Linked DNA regions of Saccharomyces cerevisiae S288C. The protein of the gene in region 2 binds, or shares a complex with, the protein of the main gene of each other region. Each region holds a gene or a part of one and is shown on either strand. Other genes may lie near its edges. A codon is read from its position in the direction of its gene.

Region 1 (3,429 bases), on a different chromosome or scaffold from region 2:
TTTGGGATAACAATACCAAATTCTGTTGGTTTTAAGTCAAATATTGTGTTGCTTATACAGGAAAAGTCAAGGTTTCAAACTACATATCATTATTTACTGTTAAAATTCACATATACTAATACATACGGTAATAGATTGAACCTCTTCTGTGCTCTTCTCTAAAAGTACTTCTGAACGTATGTGTCATTTTTCCTTTCAGTTTTCTTTGTAGCTCGCATTGATGTAGCCGAGTATATTTAAGGGATTCTTATGCAATGATGAAATATTTTTCACCTATAACGCCGACTACTGAAAACAGAGGGCCATCTTAACCGTTTTGCATTCAGTAACCCATACTCAGGATTTAATAAAAGAGGAAAGCAATGTCTCTACTAGGCGCCAGGTCCACTTACCGTTGGTTTTCAATCGCTGCATCAATTCCGACTAAGAATGCTATTGGCAAATCCACGTACCTCTTAGCTTCAAGAAATCAACAGTACCGAGGCATCATAACGTCAACTGTAGACTGGAAACCAATCAAGACAGGTAAGAGCCCAAATGATGATTCTCGAAGAGAAAGATCCTTTGGCAAGAAAATTGTTCTGGGTCTGATGTTCGCGATGCCAATAATATCCTTCTATTTGGGAACTTGGCAAGTAAGGAGATTGAAGTGGAAAACCAAGCTGATTGCGGCATGCGAAACTAAACTTACTTATGAACCAATACCACTTCCTAAGTCATTTACACCTGACATGTGCGAGGATTGGGAATACCGTAAAGTTATACTTACCGGACACTTCCTTCACAATGAAGAGATGTTTGTTGGTCCAAGAAAGAAAAATGGAGAAAAGGGTTATTTTCTGTTTACACCGTTCATTAGAGATGACACCGGTGAGAAAGTTCTGATAGAAAGAGGGTGGATAAGTGAAGAAAAAGTTGCTCCTGACTCAAGAAATTTACACCATTTGTCGTTGCCTCAAGAAGAACACTTGAAAGTGGTTTGCTTAGTAAGACCTCCAAAGAAAAGAGGCTCGCTACAATGGGCGAAAAAGGATCCAAATTCTAGATTGTGGCAGGTGCCAGACATATATGACATGGCAAGATCATCAGGGTGCACGCCCATTCAATTTCAAGCCTTGTATGACATGAAGGACCATCCAATAATCGAGGAACACACAAGAAACGAGGCTTCACAAAACAATTCCACCTCTAGCCTGTGGAAGTTCTGGAAACGAGAACCTACGACTGCTGTAAACGGAACGCAAGCTGTTGATAATAATACATCGAAGCCTCGTTCTAGGCAGGAAATGCCGACAGACCAAACAATTGAATTCGATGAACGACAGTTTATCAAAGCAGGTGTTCCCATAGGCCGGAAGCCCACTATTGATTTAAAGAATAACCATCTACAATATTTGGTAACGTGGTATGGCCTTTCGTTTTTGAGCACAATCTTCCTCATTGTGGCTCTTAGGAAGGCGAAAAGAGGGGGCGTTGTGTCCCAAGACCAACTAATGAAAGAGAAACTGAAGCATTCAAGGAAATATATGTAAACGGCAAACTCCTCTGCCCATACTATCGAACTCTATCCAAGAAGCGCGTAATTTCACGAGCACTGCCTAAACGGTTTTCCACATTAGTTTTGCAACTACAATGATTCGGATATGGCACATTTACATAATTTAAACTTGTACATAACTAACACCTTTTTATCCATATACCTTATGTGCCGCTCAAGATATGAACATTGCGCGTTGCCCGGACAATATCGATAAATAATAGCCAAAACAAACATGTTTTATCGACGCATGAATCCTTTGGCGTTAAACTTGTCCAATTGCACTGAAACTTGGAGCGTATAAGCTCAGCAATTGCACCAAAACAATATCAGAAAAGGCTTGTATTGCCACTTTCACCTATGAGCGAAGATAAAGCTAAATTAGGGACCACAAGGTCTGCCACGGAATATCGTTTATCCATTGGTAGCGCTCCGACTTCAAGAAGGTCGTCTATGGGTGAATCCTCATCCCTGATGAAATTTGCTGATCAAGAGGGATTAACGAGTTCCGTTGGCGAATATAACGAGAATACCATACAACAGCTTCTGTTGCCTAAAATAAGAGAACTGAGCGATTCAATCATTACTTTAGATTCCAATTTCACGCGCTTAAATTTTATCCACGAGAGTTTAGCTGATCTTAATGAATCCCTAGGTTCGTTGTTGTACGGTATTATGAGCAATTCATGGTGCGTAGAATTCTCACAGGCGCCTCATGATATTCAAGACGATTTGATCGCTATTAAACAATTGAAATCGTTGGAAGATGAGAAAAATAACTTAGTAATGGAACTCTCCAATATGGAACGCGGGATTAAAAGAAAAAAAGACGAACAAGGTGAAAATGATTTGGCCAAGGCATCTCAGAACAAACAGTTTAACCAGCCGCTATTTCCCTCCTCACAAGTAAGAAAATACAGGTCATATGACAACAGAGACAAGAGGAAGCCCTCCAAGATAGGCAACAACTTACAAGTAGAGAATGAGGAGGACTATGAAGACGATACTAGTAGTGAAGCTTCTTTTGTTCTAAATCCAACAAATATCGGTATGTCCAAATCATCTCAAGGTCACGTGACTAAAACCACGCGTTTGAATAATAATACCAACAGTAAACTGAGAAGAAAGTCCATCTTACATACAATCAGAAATAGCATTGCTTCCGGCGCTGATTTACCCATCGAAAACGACAATGTTGTTAATTTGGGAGATCTGCATCCAAATAATCGAATATCACTCGGAAGTGGTGCTGCAAGAGTGGTCAATGGGCCCGTTACGAAGAACAGAAATTCAATGTTCTCAGGACGTGCTGAAAGGAAACCCACAGAAAGCAGACATTCTGTTGCAAAGAAAACTGAAAAAAAAATAAATACAAGGCCCCCCTTCAGATGACTACGCCCAACCCAACCAAAGAATTATCCTCCTCACAAAATATATCGCTAGCATGCGTGAGTTATGGATAAGAAGAATATTTGATGAGCTGACTGATTCTTTATAGCAATAGGGAGGAAGGCAGTACACATATCAGCAGTGCATGGGCACAACCCGCATTACAACGAAACATGATATATCTATATAAAAGAAGATACGGACAGGCGGTCGAGGCTATTACTGTGCCACTATGCGAGTCATGAATGATTTTTAAATTAGTTAGTACCCCTTTATATAACGTCTTCAATAAAAGTGCGGGAAAATTCGGGTAATATTTTCTATAACTGTCATTTTTTTTTCGTTATGTATGGCAAACCAAATTGACAAGAAACTGGACAACGGTTAAAGCAAAAGGAGGAAGAAAGATATTGATTTGTGCTTTGAAGAATAACCCAAGCGAACAGGTCATTAATTGCCTAGAATCTTTACATAGAATTTGCCTTTTATGGAAGAGACGGGAG
Region 2 (3,400 bases):
AGATCCGGAAGTTACGTCTTGACAATCCTCAAAAGTATACACGCAAATTTTTGGCTGCAAAATATGGCATTTCGCCATTATTTGTATCCATGGTCTCGAAACCTAGTGAACAACATGTACAAATTATGGAAAGTAGATTGCAAGAAATCCAATCACGCTGGAAGGAGAAGAGGCGTATAGCCAGAGAGGACCGTAAGCGTAGAAAACTCCTGTGGTACCAGGCGTGAATGCTATATAAATATAATAACAATCGTGTAAATACTACTCTATAAGTACTTCGTATTCATATATTGATCACAATGCACGGAGACGCCCATTAATGTGACTTGAATATACCACATGAAAGCTAACCAATAAGCAATTTAAAAAGAGTTAAGTACAGCTTGGAGACACCCAAAGGCTTCTGCTTCGACAACTATTGACTATCGAGATGGCTTACAGTGACTACAGCGATGGAGCAGACGACATGCCGGACTTTCACGACGAAGGTGAATTTGATGATTATTTGAATGACGATGAATATGATCTAATGAACGAGGTATTTCCTACTCTAAAGGCGCAGTTACAGGATTACCAAGGCTGGGATAATCTTTCACTTAAGCTAGCTTTGTTTGACAACAATTTCGATTTGGAAAGCACGCTGGCGGAATTGAAGAAAACTTTGAAGAAGAAGAAGACACCAAAGAAGCCAATTGCTGCTGCTAATGGGAGTGCGAATGTTACTCAAAAACTGGCAAACATCTCAATTTCGCAACAAAGGCCAAATGATCGGCTTCCAGACTGGCTTGACGAGGAAGAAAGTGAGGGTGAACGCAATGGTGAGGAAGCCAATGATGAAAAGACAGTTCAAAGATACTATAAGACTACGGTGCCAACGAAACCAAAGAAACCTCATGATATTTCTGCATTTGTTAAATCTGCCTTACCTCACTTAAGTTTTGTTGTTCTTGGTCATGTTGATGCGGGAAAATCAACTCTAATGGGCAGACTACTTTATGATCTGAACATTGTCAACCAATCCCAACTGAGAAAGCTACAAAGAGAGAGTGAAACTATGGGTAAGTCATCCTTCAAATTTGCATGGATTATGGATCAGACAAATGAAGAGCGCGAACGTGGTGTAACAGTGTCAATTTGTACATCGCATTTCTCTACCCATAGGGCAAATTTTACTATTGTGGATGCGCCAGGCCATAGAGATTTTGTTCCAAACGCTATAATGGGGATATCACAAGCAGATATGGCTATACTTTGTGTAGACTGTAGCACCAATGCTTTCGAATCAGGATTTGACTTGGATGGGCAAACAAAGGAGCATATGCTACTGGCATCTAGTCTTGGAATTCACAATCTGATTATTGCTATGAATAAGATGGATAATGTTGACTGGTCCCAACAAAGGTTTGAAGAGATTAAATCGAAATTGTTGCCATATCTGGTTGATATTGGGTTTTTTGAGGATAATATTAATTGGGTACCTATCAGTGGCTTTTCCGGAGAAGGTGTTTATAAAATTGAATATACAGATGAAGTGAGACAATGGTACAATGGTCCTAACTTAATGTCTACTTTGGAAAATGCGGCGTTCAAGATTTCAAAGGAGAATGAAGGAATTAACAAAGATGATCCGTTTTTGTTTTCTGTGTTGGAGATCATCCCATCGAAAAAAACAAGTAACGATTTAGCACTAGTTTCAGGAAAATTGGAATCAGGTTCTATTCAACCTGGTGAATCTTTGACAATATATCCGTCGGAACAGAGTTGTATTGTGGATAAAATTCAGGTTGGTTCTCAACAGGGCCAATCAACGAATCACGAAGAGACAGATGTTGCCATTAAGGGTGATTTTGTCACTTTGAAATTGCGCAAAGCCTATCCAGAAGATATTCAAAATGGTGATTTGGCAGCATCAGTTGATTATTCGTCCATTCATTCAGCACAGTGTTTTGTTCTGGAATTGACCACCTTTGACATGAACCGACCTTTGCTGCCAGGAACACCGTTTATTCTTTTCATCGGAGTCAAGGAGCAACCTGCTCGAATCAAAAGATTGATTTCATTTATAGACAAGGGCAATACTGCAAGCAAGAAAAAGATTAGACATCTAGGCTCTAAACAACGAGCATTTGTAGAAATAGAACTAATTGAAGTAAAGAGGTGGATTCCTTTATTAACTGCCCATGAAAATGACCGTTTGGGAAGAGTTGTTCTTAGAAAGGACGGTAGAACCATTGCGGCAGGTAAAATATCCGAAATAACTCAGTAGAAGGGTGAAAATAGATGATAAGAATTTTATACGCTTCTGTATGTAATTTTTTCAATTTCTACACATTAATAGCGATCCTTTTTTAATATTTGAATTTAGTGTAACGCGAAAATAAAAATATGAAAGTACTTACAAAAGGTTAGAGGGCGACAATACAAAAGAATACCTGCCTCTGAATATATCTAAAAAACTATTGAATAGGTTTGAAAAACTCATAATTCAGACAGTTATTATGGATTCAATAGATGAACAAATTGCTATAAAGCGAAAAGAACTTCAGTCATTACAAAAGATAACCAGTTTAACGGATGGCTTAAAAATTCAGCTAACAGAGTTGAATGAGCAGATCAAAGAAATGGGAATGAATGCGGATTCAGTGGCCCAATTGATGAACAATTGGGATTCTATAATAAACAATATATCGCAAGCAAGTTTGGGATTATTGCAATATGCAGAGGGTGATTATGAGATAGGACCGTGGAAAGATTCTAAGAAAAAGGAATCTGAACAATCAAATGAAACAGGTCTTGAAGCGCAAGAAAATGATAAGAATGATGAAGATAATGATGAGGATGAAGATCTGGTACCCTTGCCGGAAACAATGGTCAGAATTAGGGTAGATGGTAACGAATGAACAGAAAGAAAAGGATCTTATATAAATCGGAAGAAGGCAGTTGCGATAATAGCATATACATATTTATTATTATCATTCCCCAGTAAAGTTTATTATATATATGTAAAATTGTATTATAGATATTAGTATTCTACAGTGTTGGTTTCATAGTTGATGGTATAGTTTTTTTCTTTCGCTACAGAACCAATAGTCGAGTGCAACTTTATCTCGAGTGAGTTGTCTGAGTTCAACGTTTCCACTTGAGATATTTCTTCATATATCTCTTCACGTATGGCATTCTGATCAATAGGAAACCTGCCATATGTTTCGCTTATGTATTCTGGCGTCAGTAACGATTTGTCACATAAAAGATCCACACTGGGCAAGGGGAAATCATTATTTTTGGGTAGTTCTTCATCAAAAACACGTTTGACTATATGCTGAAGCAGTTTATCTCCTTCATTACTAGCATTTAGTAGAACGATTCTTCTCCATACCAAAGCATTCAAGAACTTTTTAAC
Region 3 (3,206 bases), on a different chromosome or scaffold from region 2:
GTTCGTTCGGTGAGCGTGGCAATACAAATAAATTAAAAAGACGCGATTCTGGGTCCACCATGATCAATACTGAATTGAAGAACCTAGTCATAAGGGAAGTATTTGCACCGAAATGTTTTAGAAGGAAAAGAAACTCTAATACGACTACAATGGGAAACCATAATGCGCGTTTGGGTTCCAGTCCATCTTTTTTAACACAAAAATCAAGAGCCTCGTCCCATGATGCATCGAATACGTCTATGAAGACTCTTGGTGATTCATCGTCACAAGCGAGTTTACAGATGGATGACTCGAAAGTCAATCCGAATTTGCAGGATCCTTTCTTGAAAAAATCGCTTCATGAAAAAATATCTAATGCTTTAGATGGCTCGCATTCAGTAATGGATTTGAAGCAATTCCACAAAAACGAACAAATAAAACATAAAAACTCTTTCTGCAACTCTTTATCACCCATTCTCACTGCAACCAATTCTAGAGATGATGGCGAATTTGCCACCTCCCCGAATTATATCAGCAACGCACAAGATGGTGTTTTTGATATGGATGAAGATACGGGAAACGAAACTATAAATATGGATAACCACGGCTGCCATCTTGACTCTGGTAAAAACATGATTATAAAGTCATTGGCGTATAATGTTTCAAATGACTATAGTCATCATGATATTGAATCAATTACGTTTGAGGAGACGTCCCACACCATTGTTTCAAAATTTATCTTATTGGAAGATTTGACAAGAAACATGAACAAGCCTTGTGCACTGGATCTAAAGATGGGGACAAGACAATATGGCGTAGACGCCAAAAGAGCCAAGCAACTGTCACAGCGTGCAAAGTGTTTAAAGACCACTTCTAGGCGTTTAGGCGTTAGAATCTGCGGATTAAAGGTTTGGAACAAAGATTATTATATCACAAGAGATAAATACTTTGGTAGAAGGGTTAAGGTTGGTTGGCAATTTGCTAGGGTACTTGCACGTTTTTTGTATGATGGTAAGACCATTGAAAGTTTAATCAGGCAAATTCCAAGGTTGATCAAGCAACTAGATACTTTGTATTCTGAAATTTTTAATTTGAAAGGTTACAGGCTATATGGCGCGTCTTTATTACTAATGTACGATGGAGATGCTAATAAATCAAATTCTAAAAGGAAAAAAGCTGCTAATGTTAAAGTCAACTTGATCGATTTTGCACGTTGTGTTACTAAAGAAGATGCAATGGAATGTATGGATAAATTTCGTATACCCCCAAAATCGCCAAATATAGAAGATAAAGGGTTCTTACGAGGTGTGAAGAGCTTGAGGTTTTATCTGTTATTAATCTGGAATTATCTGACTTCTGATATGCCGTTAATTTTCGATGAAGTAGAGATGAATGATATGATTAGCGAAGAAGCAGATTCGAATAGTTTCACCTCCGCCACCGGTTCGAAAATCAACTTCAACAGTAAGTGGGATTGGTTAGATGAATTTGACAAAGAAGACGAAGAAATGTATAATGATCCAAATAGTAAACTAAGACAAAAATGGAGAAAATACGAGCTTATTTTCGACGCTGAACCAAGATACAATGACGATGCTCAAGTTAGTGATTGAAAAGAAAGGATAGAACTAATGAATATTCTTTTAGCTGCGCTTATTTCAGTCCGTAAATGCATTTATCTATTCGTAACTATCATTATTTTGATTGCATAATCCAATAAATACACAAACGAGCATAGCATATATAACTATATATATGAAAAGACAAACGAATTTGTACGTGTATGAATATGACTACACGGTTATAGGCGATCACTAGAACCATTGAGCGGAAAGGGCCACCTCCGGGTAAAAGTCAAGGCCGCGAAAATAACAAAGGGAATAAACAGTCACCTTTAACAAGAGGAGGTAGTAATTAGCGTAGGAATAGGACTGATGAAGAGCTCGGACGTGTGAGGATATATGTACATATGATGGCTAGTACATCCAATGATGAAGAAAAGTTGATATCAACCACTGACAAATACTTCATCGAGCAGAGGAATATAGTATTGCAGGAGATCAATGAGACTATGAATTCAATCTTGAATGGTCTGAATGGTCTCAATATATCATTGGAGAGCTCGATAGCTGTGGGAAGAGAATTCCAGTCAGTTTCTGATTTGTGGAAAACACTTTATGATGGGTTGGAAAGTTTATCAGACGAAGCGCCCATCGACGAGCAACCTACTTTATCTCAATCGAAAACGAAGTAAAGTTGCGGTTCCCTCTGTCTCTCCTAATATTATCCTAAATTTATGTTTACAGTCGCAAATTAGATAAAGGATACGTAAGATATAAATTGTAATTTTAGCCTAATGATAAGTAAGTTGTGGACAACTTTTGCACGTTGAAAAAAGTGGAGGGCCACCGAACTCTTTTTCAAACGTTCTCCTCTTTGAACTTAGTTGTCTACCGTTTTGGATGGTAATAGCTGTTTCTTGGATAGACCTACCTTATATTTAACCTTGTTAGAATCCACCTGATAGAATGTCTTGTTCGTTTCATATATCAAGTCCTTTAGGCTCTTCTTCTTCCTTGGAGGGCTTTTCTTCATTGAAGGTGGTGGTTGTAGCCTGTCAAGCTCTTTCGAGGGACCTCCTTGGTATTGATCTTGTTCTCTTACTCCTTTTTTGGCGTCCAGATAAGCACCCCCATTGGGGCTTCCGCCACCTGTGTTCTCAGACAGATTTTTGGCACGAAGTTGTTGTTTTTCCAATTCCAAATTAAACAGTCTTCTTTCTACAACGTTGATGTTGACTATGGGAGAAGTCGTAATAGACCTTTTGTTCTTTCTTGCTGGAGCAACTTCGGTGCACAAGCTCTTTTCGGCATTATTATGTACCCCGAGTGGTATATAGGAGCAGCTTCTCCTATTTGATCTTTGTTGCATCGTCTTGATTTCTCTCTTTCGTTCGTCTCTGACATGTAGTTGTAATTCAAGAATTTAACCTGGGCGGCTATCTTAATAAATAGTGCATTACTCAAGCAAAAATCAGAAACCACGTACGCTAATTAAAGCCGTGAAAAACGAAAATATAAATATGCGAGAGTATACATTAAAATATTGTACATGTTAGCGACGCAGATTTATACCTCGCCATTTTTAGTCTTGAATTGAGGTGATCTTTTATTAAAGAGCATATCACCTCGGCAAGAACCCAGGTCTATTACACAAGTGGCAAGGCA
Region 4 (3,718 bases), on a different chromosome or scaffold from region 2:
CTTTGCATAGAACTACGAAATCTAATTAAGGTGACTAAAAAACCTTGGTGCGAGATTGATAGTAAAACTGGCAGGTCATTTTGCGACCAAATAAGAAATCAAGTGACAAATGAAAGAAACAAAACTTTATCTAAGATCCTCTCAGAAAACGGTGTACAAGTCCAGGATTCCACATTACTTAACCACATAATTTCTTCTTTTCAAAGTGAAGCTATAACACTTCCAGAAGCTCAGGAATTATTAAGAAGGGGCGTTACTTTCGATAATAGGGTAGTCATGGAATGTGAAAAGTTAATAGTATCTACAAGTGATCCAACTTTGATCAGTATAAGCGCCAAATTGAACAGTCTCAAAGCTTCGATGGCGAACCATCAAGCAAATTTGGTAGCTAGCAAACAGTTAAGTACATATAAGTAATCTACTAGCGATAACATTAACAATAATTTATAATACAAACTGGATAAAGAGATAAATGGATGCTTTAAAAAATAAACTTCTAACTATTTCTGTTTGAGTATTTCCAACTTATTCTCCAGTTGCTTCTTCTTTTCCTTTAGTTTCTTCAATTCTTCCAATTCCTCATTAGTAGAAGATGCCATCATAACCACGTCGTCCGCGTCTCTGCCTTCGTATTCTTGACCCATGTCTGGACTATTCAGAGCATCATCGTCATCCATACTAATGTTCTTCTTTAGCCTTAAATCGTTTAATTCATAAGTTTGCTGCAAAGTATCGAGTTCCCTTTGCATTCTACCCATAGATTTACGTAACTTATCGCCCAGAGTCCTAACCAGCGGTTCTACCTCTTCAATCAAATCTAATTTTGATCTTTCAACATCATATTCGGGAACTAAACGGAAAACCCTTTTGGTTTGCAACATTGTCGATGCAAGGTTCGTGCTTGGCTCATTTGCACATTTTAAAGACTCCACAGAATCCTTCAATACTGAAACTGTTCCCTCCAACGCAAGGACGCTCTGTTCCAAAGCATCTGTCATGGTTATTTTGCCTATCCTTCAATTCGTACACAGATATATGCGTCTGTGATCTGTTTATTATTCATTTTCATTGTTGCTAACTACTACGCCCTGTGAAAACAAACTTTATAATCGCCAATAATAAATACATAATGAAAGTAAATCGCAATCCGGACCCCACGGATAGTCACCAGTCTCACCAACTGGAAATTAGAAGGAAGGAAGACAACTGTAAATTCTTGGCATGGTAGAACTGGAAAAAAGAAGACGGCCCCCTCCGCAACTGCAACATTCTCCCTATGTTAGGGATCAATCGAATTCGCAGGGAATGACAAAGACGCCAGAAACGTCACCGCCTAAGAGGCCCATGGGAAGAGCTAGATCAAACTCGAGAAGCAGTGGATCCCGTTCAAATGTCGATATAGATCAGTATACCATACCACCAGGCTTAGATTTGTTGCCTACCGCTTCATCTCCACCTTCCGTCCATCAAGTTTCACAACAGCAACAATTATCCCCAATATTAGCCAACAAAATCCGTTCTCCATTTGAAAATCAAAGTCAGGATCAAAATGACAATTCAATAGACCCAACACCGGCTGGACAAGTAACAATTCCTGTAGAAGCCGTATCTCCACCGGCACTGGACGAATTATCGAAATTCCAAAATGGTTCAACTGAGACATTATTTAGAACTGGATCACCCCGTAAGAAGCATACACATATTATTATACTCAAATCCTTAAATGCAACTTTTGAGACCAAGTTTCTTGTTGTACCATTTAAACCTGACGGACTTAAATTAGGTCGACCAGTTACCAATAGCGTAAACAAGAATAATTCAGGATCGAAAAGAGATTTATTTTCGCAACAAGTTAGACCAGATAACGGAAATTTTGACTCAAGAGTTCTTTCCAGAAATCACGCTTGTCTCAGTTGTGATCCTACATCAGGAAAGATATATATTCGCGATCTAAAGTCCAGCAATGGGACATTTGTTAATGGGGTTAAAATACGCCAAAATGATGTAGAATTAAAAGTTGGTGATACTGTGGATTTGGGAACTGATATTGACTCAAAGTTTGAACATAGAAAAATCAGTGCGTATGTGGAAGAGATTTCAGTAATTCCCTTAATGAACACTGTATCTGATCCCACAAATTTGGTGATGAAAAAACAAGATCATACTAATAAGAATAATGGGAACTCCACTAATATAAACGGAATAAAGATAGACAGAGGTCATCATAATCAACACATTCCAATACGATCTCATTTAAAGGAAAATTATACCGAAGCTGGTGTAACATCTGCAACAACGGCTCAAAGGGCAGCCTTTGAGGCAGCTATGTTTGGAGATATTAATAACTCAGAATTAGATGATGATATTTTAGGTCCAGAAACTGAGGTTCTCAGTGGAATTTTTATCAACAATTCAGCAGGTACAAGCATAAATTTGATAAATATGATAAAAACTTTGACTACTGAGCTGTCCTTAGAAAAACAAGAGCTGGAAAAATTACATTCCATGCAAAACTTTATGCAAAACTATACGATAAACCTTGATTTCATCAATAAGCACATGATTGATATGAATGAAAAGCATTTACTGAAACTGAGCACGGCTTTACAAAAAACTCTATCAGAAAATAATGATGCGCTACTCAAAGAATCGGAAGATCAATTAAAAGAAATCAAACAACAAAATAATAAAGTAAAATCTGCATGTAGCTTGAAGGAAAAACAAAACCATGAAAAGCTACAGGAGCTCGAAAGTGAATTAAGAGAGCTGAACCTTCAAATAGAAGAAGAGAGGGGAAAAAATTTAGTTTTAACACAAAGCAATTTTAATGGTGGTATTAACAATGACAATAACGCTAAAGTAAAACAAAATGATTCAAGAGAAGAAAAAAAGGATACCGAAGATACATTAATAAGCACTGAAGAACTAGGAGTCGTCGAAGGCAAGAGAACAAGAGTTAGTAAGGGAATGCTCTTTGGAGTAGTTGCCATTTCATTCGGTTTAGTTGCGACGGCCGTTAAGCAATTGCCACAATAACTCGAAAGAAGAAAAATACTACAAGCATAATCTACAAAGCAAAAACAGGGCTTGTCCTGTAGAAATGAGAAAAACCATATATTATAAATAAGCACATATTCCATATACTTTGAATATTGTTTTGCAATTCTGATCCACACTCTTTTTTTTCATTTTTTCAAGATTTCTTGATTAAGTAAAATTAAAAAAAAATTCGGGAACTCAAGCTAAAACTGGATGCGTCTACTCATCACCTATAGTCTCAAGATTGTCGAAGATACAGATTTTGAATAAATATCTACAAAAAAGTTACATAGTAAATTGCGAATGGAAGGAAAGGTTGATGTCTTGCTAACATGGCTGAAAAAATCAGATAAGTTTTATATAGCACCAAACATCAGCATCTGTGAATCGCCAGAAACTGGCAGAGGGATCGTCCTCAGTCACGGTTCGATAAGAAAAAACGATATCATTGTATCAGTACCGAGCTCGAAGCAACTAAATTTTCACACTATCCTCTATCATATTTCAAAGTTTAATAAAGAGCTGAATATTCCTGGTATCACAATCGATAGAAAGCCAATCAATTATGAGGACAATATTATTGAAGCGGAAAATAAAGCCTGGGCCGATCCTAGATATGGATTATATTCCGAATTATCGAAAGAGTTTTTGTTAAGTTTATCATCATTTCAATTGGTAT

The links.
Region 1: DAD2 (region 2) and DAM1 share a complex: the UniProt entries of both Saccharomyces cerevisiae proteins name them as parts of the DASH complex.
Region 3: DAD2 (region 2) and DAD1 share a complex: the UniProt entries of both Saccharomyces cerevisiae proteins name them as parts of the DASH complex.
Region 4: the proteins of DAD2 (region 2) and SPC19 are in contact, whole or in part, in a cryo-EM structure (PDB 8Q84), measured with the Saccharomyces cerevisiae proteins. Residues at the interface, in NP_013009.1 of Saccharomyces cerevisiae: Ile10 (codon at 2,526), Lys13 (codon at 2,535), Glu14 (codon at 2,538), Ser17 (codon at 2,547), Leu18 (codon at 2,550), Ile21 (codon at 2,559), Leu24 (codon at 2,568), Thr25 (codon at 2,571), Gly27 (codon at 2,577), Leu28 (codon at 2,580), Gln31 (codon at 2,589), Leu32 (codon at 2,592), Glu34 (codon at 2,598), Leu35 (codon at 2,601), Gln38 (codon at 2,610), Glu41 (codon at 2,619), Met42 (codon at 2,622), Asn45 (codon at 2,631), Ser48 (codon at 2,640), Val49 (codon at 2,643), Gln51 (codon at 2,649), Leu52 (codon at 2,652), Asn55 (codon at 2,661), Ser58 (codon at 2,670), Asn62 (codon at 2,682), Gln65 (codon at 2,691), Glu122 (codon at 2,862), Thr123 (codon at 2,865), Met124 (codon at 2,868), Val125 (codon at 2,871); in NP_010487.3 of Saccharomyces cerevisiae: Met1 (codon at 998), Thr2 (codon at 995), Leu5 (codon at 986), Glu6 (codon at 983), Ser8 (codon at 977), Val9 (codon at 974), Leu12 (codon at 965), Glu13 (codon at 962), Val16 (codon at 953), Leu19 (codon at 944), Lys20 (codon at 941), Val23 (codon at 932), Leu26 (codon at 923), Lys27 (codon at 920), Asn30 (codon at 911), Ser33 (codon at 902), Thr34 (codon at 899), Ala37 (codon at 890), Leu41 (codon at 878), Thr43 (codon at 872), Lys44 (codon at 869), Arg45 (codon at 866), Val46 (codon at 863), Phe47 (codon at 860), Arg48 (codon at 857), Leu49 (codon at 854), Val50 (codon at 851), Pro51 (codon at 848), Glu52 (codon at 845), Tyr53 (codon at 842).

The regions. Positions count from the first base shown.
Region 1 is NC_001139.9:716,996-720,424, forward strand, and holds DAM1 (Dam1p), read left to right. Parts: upstream 1-1,897; coding exon 1,898-2,929; downstream 2,930-3,429. Other genes in the region: YGR111W (uncharacterized protein), read left to right, coding at 1-35; cytochrome oxidase assembly protein SHY1, read left to right, coding at 363-1,532; chromatin-remodeling histone chaperone SPT6, read left to right, coding at 3,414-3,429. UniProt on the Saccharomyces cerevisiae protein: Component of the DASH complex that connects microtubules with kinetochores and couples microtubule depolymerisation to chromosome movement; it is involved in retrieving kinetochores to the spindle poles before their re-orientation on the spindle in early mitosis and allows microtubule depolymerization to pull chromosomes apart and resist detachment during anaphase.
Region 2 is NC_001143.9:595,921-599,320, reverse strand, and holds DAD2 (Dad2p), read left to right. Parts: upstream 1-2,498; coding exon 2,499-2,900; downstream 2,901-3,400. Other genes in the region: mitochondrial 54S ribosomal protein mL58 MRPL20, read left to right, coding at 1-227; ribosome dissociation factor GTPase HBS1, read left to right, coding at 431-2,266; NUP133 (Nup133p), read right to left, coding at 3,023-3,400. UniProt on the Saccharomyces cerevisiae protein: Component of the DASH complex that connects microtubules with kinetochores and couples microtubule depolymerisation to chromosome movement; it is involved in retrieving kinetochores to the spindle poles before their re-orientation on the spindle in early mitosis and allows microtubule depolymerization to pull chromosomes apart and resist detachment during anaphase.
Region 3 is NC_001136.10:477,501-480,706, reverse strand, and holds DAD1 (Dad1p), read left to right. Parts: upstream 1-1,948; coding exon 1,949-2,233; downstream 2,234-3,206. Other genes in the region: inositol polyphosphate kinase KCS1, read left to right, coding at 1-1,592; HED1 (Hed1p), read right to left, coding at 2,422-2,910. UniProt on the Saccharomyces cerevisiae protein: Component of the DASH complex that connects microtubules with kinetochores and couples microtubule depolymerisation to chromosome movement; it is involved in retrieving kinetochores to the spindle poles before their re-orientation on the spindle in early mitosis and allows microtubule depolymerization to pull chromosomes apart and resist detachment during anaphase.
Region 4 is NC_001136.10:853,597-857,314, reverse strand, and holds SPC19 (Spc19p), read right to left. Parts: upstream 999-3,718; coding exon 501-998; downstream 1-500. Other genes in the region: RAV2 (Rav2p), read left to right, coding at 1-417; VPS64 (Vps64p), read left to right, coding at 1,222-3,036; RKM2 (protein-lysine N-methyltransferase), read left to right, coding at 3,343-3,718. UniProt on the Saccharomyces cerevisiae protein: Component of the DASH complex that connects microtubules with kinetochores and couples microtubule depolymerisation to chromosome movement; it is involved in retrieving kinetochores to the spindle poles before their re-orientation on the spindle in early mitosis and allows microtubule depolymerization to pull chromosomes apart and resist detachment during anaphase.